Drosophila melanogaster: one gene and its partner. The protein of the gene in region 1 interacts with the protein of each later gene in a pairwise test. Each region holds a gene or a part of one and is shown on either strand. Other genes may lie near its edges.

The links. Proteins that work in one complex are often made in the same cells at the same time.
Region 2: the proteins of Wbp2 (region 1) and CG3529 interact in a two-hybrid assay, tested with the Drosophila melanogaster proteins (one large-scale study listed by BioGRID).

What each region holds. Positions count from the first base shown.
Region 1 is NT_037436.4:12,848,010-12,854,220, reverse strand, and holds Wbp2 (WW domain binding protein 2), read right to left. Parts: upstream 4,057-6,211; 5' UTR 3,946-4,056; coding exon 3,890-3,945; intron 3,724-3,889; coding exon 3,424-3,723; intron 3,307-3,423; coding exon 3,068-3,306; intron 2,913-3,067; coding exon 2,499-2,912; intron 2,416-2,498; coding exon of another isoform or gene 2,396-2,415; exon of another isoform or gene 2,167-2,395; intron 1,990-2,166; coding exon of another isoform or gene 1,985-1,989; exon of another isoform or gene 1,944-1,984; intron 1,795-1,943; coding exon of another isoform or gene 1,709-1,794; exon of another isoform or gene 1,693-1,708; intron 1,606-1,692; coding exon 1,505-1,605; intron 1,441-1,504; coding exon 1,396-1,440; 3' UTR 1,052-1,395; downstream 1-1,051. Other genes in the region: Ent3 (equilibrative nucleoside transporter 3), read right to left, coding at 1-172; CG10948 (uncharacterized protein), read left to right, coding at 4,186-4,189, 4,482-5,063, 5,126-5,851.
Region 2 is NT_037436.4:9,444,461-9,451,285, reverse strand, and holds CG3529 (uncharacterized protein), read right to left. Parts: upstream 4,423-6,825; 5' UTR 4,291-4,422; coding exon 4,224-4,290; intron 2,899-4,223; coding exon 2,447-2,898; intron 2,386-2,446; coding exon 1,658-2,385; intron 1,598-1,657; coding exon 1,462-1,597; intron 1,269-1,461; coding exon 1,218-1,268; intron 1,055-1,217; coding exon 857-1,054; 3' UTR 501-856; downstream 1-500. Other genes in the region: CG3448 (uncharacterized protein), read left to right, coding at 1-462; Srg3 (Sting-regulated gene 3), read right to left, coding at 5,001-5,584.

The DNA of each region.
Region 1 (6,211 bases):
CCAGGTAGACGGAGTGCCTCTGATCCTTGGGTGCACGGTTATCGAACTCCGGACTGTCCATGCTGCCTGGACGCCTCAGGCCGGATCCGGTTGTGGAATGACTGCTCCTCGAACGCCCGGAACCACGTCCGTCCAGCGGCTCATAGGTGGTTTCCTGGCCACCAACATCCATGATGTTGTACTCTTATTTTATGCGACGATTTCCGCTGGCAAATCCTATTTAATTACTCCCTGTGGTTCTTGGACCTTGGCATTATTTTCCACTTTGGCCAACTTAGTGGGCGTGAGTTCTGCTCTGTTGTTTTGCCTGCCGTACTTACATACATATGTACATATAGGGTGCAAGTTCGTCGTTATACACAAATCGATAAACAAAAAACAAAAAACAGACACAAGTGGCTGAGCAATTAGCCACTTGGCATTTTTTTAACACCAACTATCATCTGATTTGGCGGTTACGCCCTTTAATTGAACTGAATTCAATAGCACATTCACTATTTACAAGATATATTTCAACCGCTTTTCAAGAGACATCTGCTTGCCATTCCTTGCCTGTCAAAGTCCTGGCACCGATTTCTCACCACGCCCGCCACTGCGCATGTGGCGTATGATTGATTTTCTACAACTGACCAAATCAGCCTGTTGTTGTCTAGTAGTCGGCTAACTGGAATTGAAGTCTACTTTTGAATGAACATCTTCTTCATTTTTGTTAGCATGACCGCATTCGAGGTGGCCTTAAATCCAAAGTGGAAAATTTATAGCGAAATATATTTTTACATTACAAGAATCTTGAATTTTTCCGAAAATTCATCCTTCTTAAAAAATACAGCAATTCGTATTTTTAAAAATACAGTTGATTTAATTTAAATTTTAAAATAAGATTTAAAGTGTTTACGTATATTATTGAATATACATAGCAGAGCAAACCAAAAGACGTGGATACTTCTATACCCAACGAGGTTACGAAAAAATCATTGATTTGAAAAGAATTGTCTGATCCCTGATCAATTCTCCGATGAACCCCATTAAAGCCAGATACTGAAATTGGATTACTTTTATATAATAAATTGTTTATATATTATAACGGATAAAATAGTACTGTTTTTCTCATATAACAACAAGTTGGTTAATGTTATGTTCATATATAAAATAATACAATTTATCAAGCCGAAAGAGCAAAATTCTAATTTTGTGACCAGAAATCAAAGCATATGAAGAATATGCTGCTTATGAAAGAATTTAATTAGCAACAATTCCAAGCAAATATTCCAACCAAGCACATTTGTAATGCCCGAAAACAACAATAATTTCGTGTAGAGTTTCATCAACGGAATGAGCAGTAATTACTTAGTTATTTAGCATTTCTTCGTAAGGGAATATAGTATGCAGCTTCTTTTAGTGATTTTTTTTCGATGCATCATCATAACTGGGTGGCAAGTTCTATTAGATAAGACACAAAAAAGAAGTTAGACATTTTTTCAATACAATGTTCCACATCGCTTACATTATAAGAAGGTGGTAAATCATTGTTGCCTGATCCACTGGGCCCGCCTTGGTTGTAGGGTGTGTTGTAAGCACTTGCTGCAGCTTCGGCTTCTTTGGAATCTGTTAAAATAGAAAACAATCCATTTTGGTAATAAATGTTCTCAAGCTCGATATACACAGCATAAAATTTACACCATTGCGATTCACCTCTTACAATTTATGTTTACGGTATCAAAGCTGGAACCAGCACAACACACATGGGTCTTTGAATTGGATAGAAATAATGATGGGTGCTGCCGAATCTGGCTACTATTGGTTCGCATTTTGTGGGTAATAAAGAAAAAGTTAAAGAAGAAACCATTAAATGTCACTAAATCAAATCGGATAGACTTAACTACTTGAAGACTCGGCTTTTGTTAGTAATTTGCTTTGGGTAACATTGAAACAATAAATCTTACTTGTCGGGATGGCTATTTGAGGTACAGTAGTTTGCTTTTAATTACACTGTAAAATAGGTCAAAAGATAAATGCTTTTTTTTAGATTCGGGAAATAATTTTGTTTTGATTAGTAATAGGTTAATCGTTATTTGGATATTAGGTGAGAAACCTGATAAGGGAACTCAAAAATGGGAAAAAAACAAATATAAACACTACCAAAAAAGGAATATTACACCGTCAAATGAATTATGCTAACAAATCATTTATTATTTGGACAAATTGAATAATTTTGTAAGTGAGAAAAATAAACAGAACGAATGCTTCTGAATGGTTTTTGGATGCCTCTTGAATACTTTGAGCGTCCGAAAGCAAAAGGTGGTTCATGATACTTCAATTAAATTCTTGATAACATTTTAGATCTTTAGATGTTTCGACTATTTTAAAGATGTTCATAATTTTCTTGTCCTTTTGCTCATATTTTTTTATCTTTTGCTAGAATAAAACCAATTTAGAAATGTGCATTGTGGGAGGGAAATGTTAAAAAAGTGATGAATGGGATGATGAGTTCTACTCACTTCCAGGGGGCAAGCTGAAGCCCATAAAGCTGGCTCCAGATGCGGCGGCTCCTCCAGCTGCTCCTGCTGCTTGTTGTCCGGGTGGCGGTGGTCCACCTGGATAGCCATTTGGATTTCCATTCGGTTGCTGAAATCCGGGGGTATTAAATCCGCCAGGAACATTGCCGTATCCACCATATGGCTGTGGACCATTGTACGTCTGAGCCGGAGCGGCGTACGGCGGCTGTGGTGGACAATTTGGGGCACATGAAGCGTACGGCGGAGGTTGGACATAGCCACCGGCCCATCCTTGTGGCCCATAGCCCGGCTGCTGTTGTTGCTGCTGCGGCGGCGGCGCTGAAAAACCATACCAATTGGGTTCATTCGACGACGGTGCCTGCGGCTGTTGCGGTGCTGGTTGGTGAGCAGGTGGTGCTAAGACGAAAAAGAGAGGAGTGCCCCATTGGGTTAAACGAAGCGAGTGCGTAGCGTGAATTTCGTGGGTAAGCCAGGTTGCCAATTCGCGTAGCCAGCGTGCCAAAACAAAAGCCGAGTATAGATTGGGTAAAGTGCACGTGCGTTTAACTTACCGATACCCGGATACGGCGGCGGATTGTCGCTCATATAGACCGTATTCGGCGCAGGGCCGCTGAATGCGTCATGCTGCGGCAGCCAGCCATAGTAGCCAGGTGGTGGCTGATATGCCGGCGGTGGTGCCTCATTCCAGGATCCAGCCGGCTGATATGGTGGCGGATCATCACCAGCCAGACCACCGCGGTGGTAGTTGTTCATCGCCGTCTTGGCGGAGCGCAGTAGAGCTTGACCATATCTATAAGAAATGGACTTGTTAATCAGAACATTATATATTCTCTTGAGTCTATTCAGTATTAAGACTTATCAAGAGATCCGTCTAATTAGTTTTAATTTAGGTGCACAATGCACTTACTCAATTGCGCCGCCTGCCTTGAAATGGAGCTTGAACTTGACCTCGCCCACGTAGTTTCCATTTGGCTGAGCGCGAACCTTTCCCTTGATGTAGTTGGCCCCGAAAACGGGCTGTTCGATTTCCACATCCGAAAGAGCAACAAACGGGGCACTGAACGACTGCATCGAATCCGAGGACTTCTTGCTATTGAAGATCATTCGGTGGGAGGTGAGATAAATCCTGCCACCTTTGGAGCCCTTGAAGATGGGATTGTCCTGACCGGAGAACTCCATGGAGACACTGTCGCTGTGGAGCAGTATGCTGAAAGTGTAAAAGCAGTTAATTTGTGTGCCATATTTCTATCTTATCGCTGGAACATAGGCTAATTTCCTTTCAAATCGCCAGCCACACGTCAGTGTTTACATTTATGACGTCAGGGATGTTCAGCATTTTCAGTGTTAATTAAAGGACTTTTCCGTTAACTTACTACTCTCCAGCATGGATGAGCACGCCATTGTTGGCGTGAGCCGTATTAACCGACATGTCTCTTTAATTTTCCAACTGTTTTGAGTCCACAAAAATTTGCAAAAATTTCATACAACTACGTTTTGTTTTTCTAGAAAACTGACGACAGCTGATGATTCATAGTGAAAAGTGTGGCAGCGCCGAAATTATCGGATATCGATACTCTTTTTAGGGTGACCAGTACGAGCAGTCACTCATCTCTAAATATAATTAGTTTTTTTTTATACATACCTGTCGTACAATTACTGGGGCGTTAATATGCGTAAGTGATAAGATAATGATTTTAAAAAGCCCACAAAATGTGTAGCAAAGAAAATGGAATAAATAGAAAGGTCTGGGAAATTAAGAAACAACAGTATTTGCGGTGAATTCGACTTTTATCAGCAGGTGGGACTTACGCCATTTTGGGCACTTGCCACCCCCCAGCTTTTATTTCCTTTTTTTACCTATCGAAAATTGAGGTGCTCAGCTGATTGGTTATTTTGTTTTGCTACCGGCTTCGTTTGGGTTGTTATCTCTTTTAAAGCAAATTACAAACTGTGTACATTTTGCAGTACCGCTCTTTGGGACCATGCCGAATGGCGTCAGTTTGCCAAATCACCCGAATTTCCTCAACCAATTGGCAGCTGCAATTTCCACGGCGGCCTCGAGCACATCTGTCGTGGGAAATCCCTCTTCGCCCCCCAAACAGATCCAGAATAAGATGGCAAAACAACAACAACAACCACAGGGCAGTGCGCCCATGGATCTGGAGAATGAGAACGAACACTCTGCGGATGTGAGCTCCTCGACGATGCACAAGGAACCCAAGTTGCAGGCCACATCCAACTCGCTCACTCTGCCCGATTCGACGCAACTATACCTGAATGGCTTGGTGCACACACCACCTGGATATCTGTATTTTCCGGCCACCCAAGCGGGTGGTGCTACTGCACCCGGCAATCCATCCTCGGCTGCAGGGGGATCCACGCCGGCAGCTTCAGCAAACAGCACCGCCAATGCGCAAATGCTCATGGATCCTACGGCCATGATGGCGGCGGCGATGCAACAAATGCAACAGATGCACTATGCAGCGGCAGCAGCAGCCGGAATGACCACAGAAACCGGAGCTGGACTAGAAGCAACTCTTAATGCGGGTAATGAAAGCAATACCAAATTGGAACCTTAAATAAACATTCTAATAAAAACATACTTTTAGATGGCGTTACACCAGCTGGCCTCAAGGAGGTGATCAAGACCAAGAACTGCATCCTGTTTCCACCTAATCCGAACGCACCTCCTCCCACAATAAGGGAGCGACCACCAGGATGCCGGACGGTGTTTGTGGGTGGACTGCCGGAAAACATAACCGAAGAAGTGATCCGGGAGATCTTCGAATCATGCGGCGAGATCACCACATTGCGCATGTCCAAGAAGAACTTTTGCCATATTCGCTACCGCCAAGAGGGTGCCATAGATAGGGCCATCTACCTATCCGGCTATAGATTGCGTATATCAGCGCTAAATGAACCTCCCAACTTTGGACGCCTGCATGTGGACTACGCACAGGCACGGGATGATCAGTATGATTACGAGTGTCGACAGAGACAGCATCAGAGGGAACAGCGTCATCGTGAGCGCATGTCGATGGACAGGATGCGATCGCAGTCGCCGCCACCAATACCGCACTACACGGATCACGAGGCTACTACTGTTGCGGAGCACCTACGCACCAACGAGACTTTTGTAAAGGCCATTCAAACGATTACCGCGTGGCTGGAGCGGGGAGATTGCACTAAGCGGAACGCCAATGTCTTCTATTCGATGATCCAGAGCACTCATGCCCATGTACGAAGACTCCATGCAGACAAACTGCAACTGGAGGAGGATCTAAAGAAGGCCAGAGACAGCTATCGCAACCAAATGGGCACCATGTCCACGCAATGTAAGTATTTCGGCCTTTCAGCCGGAAGATCAGCTTTCTTAGCTCTAGTCTAGACGGGAAACTAGGCGCCGATCCCACTTTGAAATCCTATTTTTCTGTTTACGTTGCGCCCGGGTTAGCCTTTTAGCGTCTGTATATCTGAACAATCTACCAGCGTACTACACATCCAAACACCTACACCTACACTGAAAACACACCATACCCATCCTACACAATATTTAGCAAATCTAGTCATCGAATTATTAAATGCCAAACTCCACATATGAAACTACCGTCTAAAATTTGCTCGCCAATGGTCGCTGGAGCAAGCCCAATGAATCCAAGCAGGATCAGGTAAAGACTAGCCGAAAAAGACGAAGC
Region 2 (6,825 bases), 3.4 Mb from region 1:
CACATGGGACTCCAAGGATTTGATTATGAAATATCCATGGAAGATGTCGAAAAACCAGCGTTCAAAGTGTACAAATGCGAAGGATACGAAACGCTGTACTTGGATGTTCCGCTTAGAAAAGTCTCCAACTGCTACCAGATGCTGGATGCAGCCATCGAAGCTGGTCAGCAGAAGCCACAAGCAGCTCCAGCCACCGAATCCGACGCCCAGACAACCGCATCCCTGGCTGAATATGAAAAGTATGTGAGGGACAGCAAGCTGAAGGAGGAGGAACTTCTCAAGAAATTCCTGCTGCTTTTGAACAGCAAAAAGGCCCACATCCGGGATTTAGAGAGTCAGTTGGAAAAACGATCCGGGAAAGTATCAAGAGCAAAGAATAATCAAAGGATTTTTTCTGATGACGAGGACGATGCCTACGGAGCAGCTACTCAAGTCATGAATATAGATAACGACTCAGATTAAGCCCCTTAGTAATATAAATATTTAAACAAAGACGAAATCGGTATGTGCTTGAAATGTATTTCCATTTTGTTTTAGTTTTTCTTTTCGATTTTGTAAAATAAATTAGCTTTATAATGTATGTATAAATAAACAACAAATAGACTTGTAACGTAATACATTAAATTACCATCAATGTGTAGACGTGGCTTACAATTAGACCAACAAAAGATCGCTTGTTTTTTTGGAATATAATCAATAGTTATCGTTGCTGTTTTTGTAAAAAATAAAAGCATTTTACATAAAGTGTTACTATGTATCTGCTATCAAATAGACGTTACGGATAAGTATGTTAGGGTGTGTATAACATTTGAAAGAGTAAACAATTAGAGCCGATGATGGTGCTGGCGGAGATCACTCAGAGCGCGAGCAGATCCTCTTCGGCGCCCGGTTTCTTTGGTGTCTTTCGTAAGCTATCGGCTCCTGCCGATCCTGTCGTGGCACTGGCGGCGGAGTTCGATGCACTGATCGTTGGAAGATTCTCGGCGGCAGCGGCTCTCTCCTCTAGGAATTTGTCAAACTCCGAGCTGGTCAGCTCCTCAATTCCCTCGATGTGCTGTGTGGTGGAAACAAATGACTCATTAGTCATATTAAGTACTCGAAAATGGATGACAGAAGCTAAGAAGCAAAGGAATAGTATGTAAATCGAGAAACTGAAGCCGAGTGCATGGTAAGATGAGCTTAGAAAAAGACAAAATGCTATTCGAATGGCTACTTACTGAGCTGCCCAACCACGCCTCCATCTCGTCGATCTCATTCTCTTTCGTCGACTGTGTGTGGGCGCCAACCGAACAACAAAACGAAACGAAAACCAAACGCAATTTGCATAGAACAAAAAAGAACCAAAACATATTTTCAAATTTAGACACATAGTGTAAATCAATGGCGAAAACGAGGTCAAAAGGTAAGGGAACAAATCGAACGCCATTAGTTAGACCGGCTGTCCGGCGGCTAGTTACTCACTTTACTTACCACCGGCGGTTCGCCGGCTGAGCGCTGTGCCTGCTGCGGTTGATTTGGTTTGTAAGGCGAGGCGGTGGCAGTCACACTCCCAGCAGCAGCGTCCACCGAGGGAATGTCCCGCAGCAAGTCCGATTTACTAAAAAAAGAATTATTGTTAATACTTGATGAGCTCGATTGGAAAGCACTCTTTACTGACTGGTTGCCATCGGTGCGCGACTGTGCCAGCATATCGAATTCATCGGCAGGTCGTGCGCTCCTCTGCACCCCAATGGGTGCTCCACCACCCAGGCTGATCTGTCCCAAACTCTGTGGCAGTTGGGCTTCCTCGCTGCTTTCGATTAGATCGATCAGCAGTTGGTCACTTTGCGGCGTATTGCTCACGGCGGTAGTTGTGGGCGGAGGTGGTAGCGTAGCCACCGTGGTGGCTCCTGCTCCAGCTGCTCCCACACCGGGCAGGCCCATGGCTGCGCCCAGCACAGCCGAGGGCGAGGTAACACCAGCACCCTGGCCCTGCGAACGATTTTTCTCGTAACGCTGGTGGCGCAAGAACACATTGTTCAGCTCGTCATTGATGCGCAGGAACTCCGCGGTGAGCTCGTCGTCCTGGACACGTCCAATCAGATCCACGATGCGAGACTGCATCTCCTTGCAGGTCGAGGTGAGCTCATTGAGCAGGGCATAGTCATCGGGCGACTCCTGGCCGGGCTTCAGAACACTGAGCATCTCGCTGAGGATGGACATATTGTTGCTAACGATCTCCAGTTCGGAGCGCAGCTTAGCCGCTTGCTCGGGAGTCAAATGCAAAGGACCTGTGCTGGGTGGAGCTGCGGCTGCAGCTGCGGCGGCAGCAGCGGCAGCCATGTGTTGAGGCGAGATTGTGTGCTGCTGAGCGGCCACCAGCTGAGGGGGCATCTCGGGAACACTCTAAAAGGCATATGAAAGCATTTATTATGGTTAAAGTAAAGAGGATTCCTCAGCGACTCACCCTCTGTGGCGTGTAAATGGGTGCCATGGCATCCAGATCGTTGGCTGGAAACTCGATGCCCTTGTTTTTCAATTCCATGTACATCTGGGTGACGCCGTTGAGATCCGGTTGGTTCTTAAACGCATCCGCCCAGATTTGTATCAGACTGAGAACCTTCTCCTGCATGGCGGCTGGTGGATCGTTCTTGGGCCCAATCAGCTTGACCAGCTCGTTGATGAAGTCCTTCTGGGCCACCAGGACATGGAAGGCCTTGCCGCAGTTCTTCACGCATGTCTCCAGGACGGTCAGCGTGTACATCACCACCTGGTTGTTTTTGCCGGCGTTCTGGGAGAGGCGTTTGCGAATGGCACGCATAGCATCGCGTGCAGTGTCGGAGGATTCGTTGATCATGTCGCAGATCTCCATGTTGGCGGCCCAGTTCTCCGAGGCCAGGTTGGCATCGGTGGCGGCCTCTGAAAGGTGAGAAGGTAAGTATTAGTTGACACCTTAAGATCTTTTTAAATCTATCGTTCTTCCAGAAAAAAAAACTGCAACAATATTTCATGTAATATAAATACAAAAACAAAAAAGGTATCCCTATTTTTTTTTTTTAAATTTGTATCTTATTTCTGAAAACGCTCGTTACATTTTAATTATAATAATATATTTAATTATAATTCCAAGTAAATTGTGCGGTTTTTGATCCGAAAGATGTAATTATTTTTTTCGTTTTCTGTGTGAAAACCCAAGTAAACAATTTGCATTCCTTTGTTTGTTTTTATGGGCGGCTGAAACTGTGTTTTTTAACAGGTGGGCGAGCATTATCTTTCGTTTATAATTTAGGATCTACCAAGTGCAATGACTTGCTCGAATTAAAAATGCACAAAGCAATTTGTTTAAATCCAAAACGAAACCATTGCGCAAAGTGTATTTCTCAGATATCAGATATCGTAACACTGATATCCAACAGATATAGGAGATATGGGAAAAGCTAACCAACCGCAATACAATAACAAAATGTGAGCTCATAAAAAAAGCGAAGCAACAAATTAGTACGGCACTAATACATATGCACGATTGCACGTAAATGTGTGTATCTGTGTTTGTTGTGTGTGCAGCGGCAAATGGAAATTATGGCGAAAATGCGAGCCAAAGGGGAACACGAAATAAATTAACACATTTTTTTATGTAACCCAGCGGCCAGCGGCAACGATGACTAATTGCGATTACTAAGGGCGCAAAACAGGTGGCCGCCAGGAGGGGGTGAAGGGAAAACAGGCAATCAAACAATAAAAGAGCGCATCAATAACAATACTCTTTGTGTGCGTGCCAAAAGGTGAGCAATTTCATAAAGCATACCAACAAACATTTATCTGATTTGTCACACCTGCCTGTTGGAACCGCATACTCATATAAGGGTTAATCTTATCAGAGGCCCACCGTTGTTGCCACCGCCTTTCAAATCAAATCAGACCGCTTTGCCATAGTAATGGTCTGGCAACAACAAATGAGTATCGCTACATGGAAATGTGCGCGTGTGTGTGAGAGACCAACAACAAAACAAGAAAACAAGCAAACGCACGAAGAAAGTTGTGAAAATTCAATTTTCCAATGGCCCAGTCTGATTGGGACTGCCTTGAAGCGTCCTCTAATCAGATAACTATCAATGTAAATGCGTAAATATCAACGCATATGCGTTGTATTTGTGGAAAATATTACGCTTTAACCACATATACACACACCCCCGCTTCCGGTGGGTGTTTTTTTTACGCTGGAGGGGGGAGGGTGGTTTACTCACCTATGCGCTGGCCAACTGGAGTGGAGAAAACATTTCCCAAGGCGCCAACGTTGAAAAATGAAGCCATCGTGGAGAAGTTTCTTATTAATGCTCGCCGTTGGGTTGCAGTGCGGTTAAAATTGTTCTTTATTTACTTTTTGTTCACCTGGATGAAATGTTTATGCACTTGTCTACAGCAGAGTGACCATGGCTGGCCTCAGCGAAAAATACCCACAAAGAAATGCATTACAATAAGTGGGTAAATAGGAATAGGTTTTTTTCCAGGGCTGCAGCATTTTATTTCATTTTATTTAAAAGAATTATCCACAGTTTTTGAGATAATGACATAGTTATACCCGTTACTCGTAGAGTAAAAGGGTTTATTAGATTCGTTGAAAAGTATGTAACAGGCAGACCATATAAAGTATATATATTCTTGATCAGGATCAGTAGCCGAGTCGATCTGGCGATGTCCGCCTGTCTGTACGTTTGAACGTCGAGATCTCAGGAACTATTTAAGCTAGAATGTTTAGATTAAGCGTGCAGATTCCAGAGACATAGACGCAGCCCAAGATTGTTGACCCATGTTTCCATGACCACTCCAACGCCCACATTAGATTGTTCTTAGTTTTATTGTTCACCTTGCACCTTGCACCTTTTGGATTGTAATCACACCCACATCTTTAAACAATTTTAATTTTTTCTCATTTTATTCGCAATCCGACTAGCTGAGTAACGGGTACCTCATAGTCATGGTTGTTCACAGAGCGTGTTATGTATCTCAAAAACTTTGTAATTTCAAAGAGTTATTTCACAATTCATTCCACAGATTTCGTGGATAATGAATTTTCGATTGTTCAACCTTGCACCTGTCTCAAAAATGAGCTTTCCGTCAGCGGTCCTTCTGACGGTACCGCTGGCGGTCCCACTGATGGTTCCGCTGATGGTCCCGTTGATAGCCCCACGGACGGTCCCCTTGACGGTTCCGCTGACGGTCCCTTCGATGGTTCCGCTGCCGGTCGTGCTGACGGCCCCGTCGACGGTCCGGCTGATGGTCCCTTCGACGGTCCCGCTGAGGGTTCCGCTGAGGATCCCGCTGAGAGTCCCACTGAATGGCATTGGAACGAACTCGTTGATGACCAATCCAATGACGGTCGCGCTGACGGTCCCGCTGACGGTAGCGCTGACGGTCTGGCTGAGGGTCCCGCTGAAGGCTCCTCTAGCGTTCCCGCTGACTTTCCCGCTGACGTTCCCGCTGACGTTCCCGCTGACGTTCGCGCTGACGCTAACGCTCCTGCTGACGGGCACGTCGTCGGTCTCGCTGTCAGTGATCTCCATGTCGACGGCCCAGATTTCCGAGGACAGTTCATAGGATTCGTCCTCTGAAAGAAGAGAACGTAGGGTATATTAGTGAGTGAGGCTTTGAGACTTATATTTTGATAGTCCCGACTTGGTTAGTCGGCTAAACTTCTCTGTTCCAAGACCCATAATCTTAAGCCCATTTAGATCTAACTATAAGTTGCATGATTCTTACAGAATATTGTGTTCTGACTATAATAGTCATTATCCTATTATCTGTAATCTTTGCTCTCTGCCGCTCTTAAAGCAATCAATCAAATCAATCGGTGCATTATTCACAAATACGACGCAAAATTTGTTTTTGGTTAGATTAAGGAATATATGAGTTAGCGGTTCCAACAGGCTGATAGGACAAATCATATGCCTCGCACGTAGGGTATAAACTGAGAAGAAACGTGTTTTTCCCCGGAATTCTTTGCGACACATACAGTTTGTCAAGAAACTGTTTACACACTGTGAAATAAGTTGAATTTTTGACTTTAAAGCTAAAAATAAAGGGTTTTTTGCTTAATTAAACGCAATTTTTTTATAAAATATAATTAAACAATATTTATTTTACTTATAAATCAAAAAACAAATTAAAAATATTAAATATACAAGAAAATAAACAACAAATTCCAAGTTTACACACTTTTGAGACTGTCAAGAAACTCTTTACACATTTTGTTTTCCTACTTTGTTTTGTTCTTTTTCTTAGAACGAACTCGATTTTTCCGTTATTTTTGGCTTTACATTGCTTTTTACAACGCTTCTATTGAAATTTGTTGACTTTGCTTGTGAAATTTTGCTGATCAAACGTGCTTAAAGCGAATTATTAAATTTAATAAAATGCCTGGAAAGAGATTAACTTTTGAAGTTACCCAATTAATAAACTATAACCACCAGTTGGGAAAATCTTTTCCAGAATTAGTATAAATGTTTCCTGTATCCCGTAAGACCGTCTACAATGTTTTAAAAGGCTCGGAAAAAGAGGGCAGGCTTGAACCTAAGAGTGGTGGTGGGCGGAAAATTAAAATTAAAAAGCGTGTAGACCGCTTTATTATGCGAATAGTGATTGCGAACCCCCGAATCTCGGTCAGATCACTTGCTCTGGATATCAGGCAAGAATGTCACCTAACTGTGTCACACGAAACTGTGCGCCAAGTCATCCTACGCCATAGGTACTCTTCAAGAGTTGCAAGGAAAAACCCTTTGCTATCAGATGCCAATATTGAAAAGCGTCATTTATTCGCTATGAGCATGATGGATCATGCGGAAGAGTACT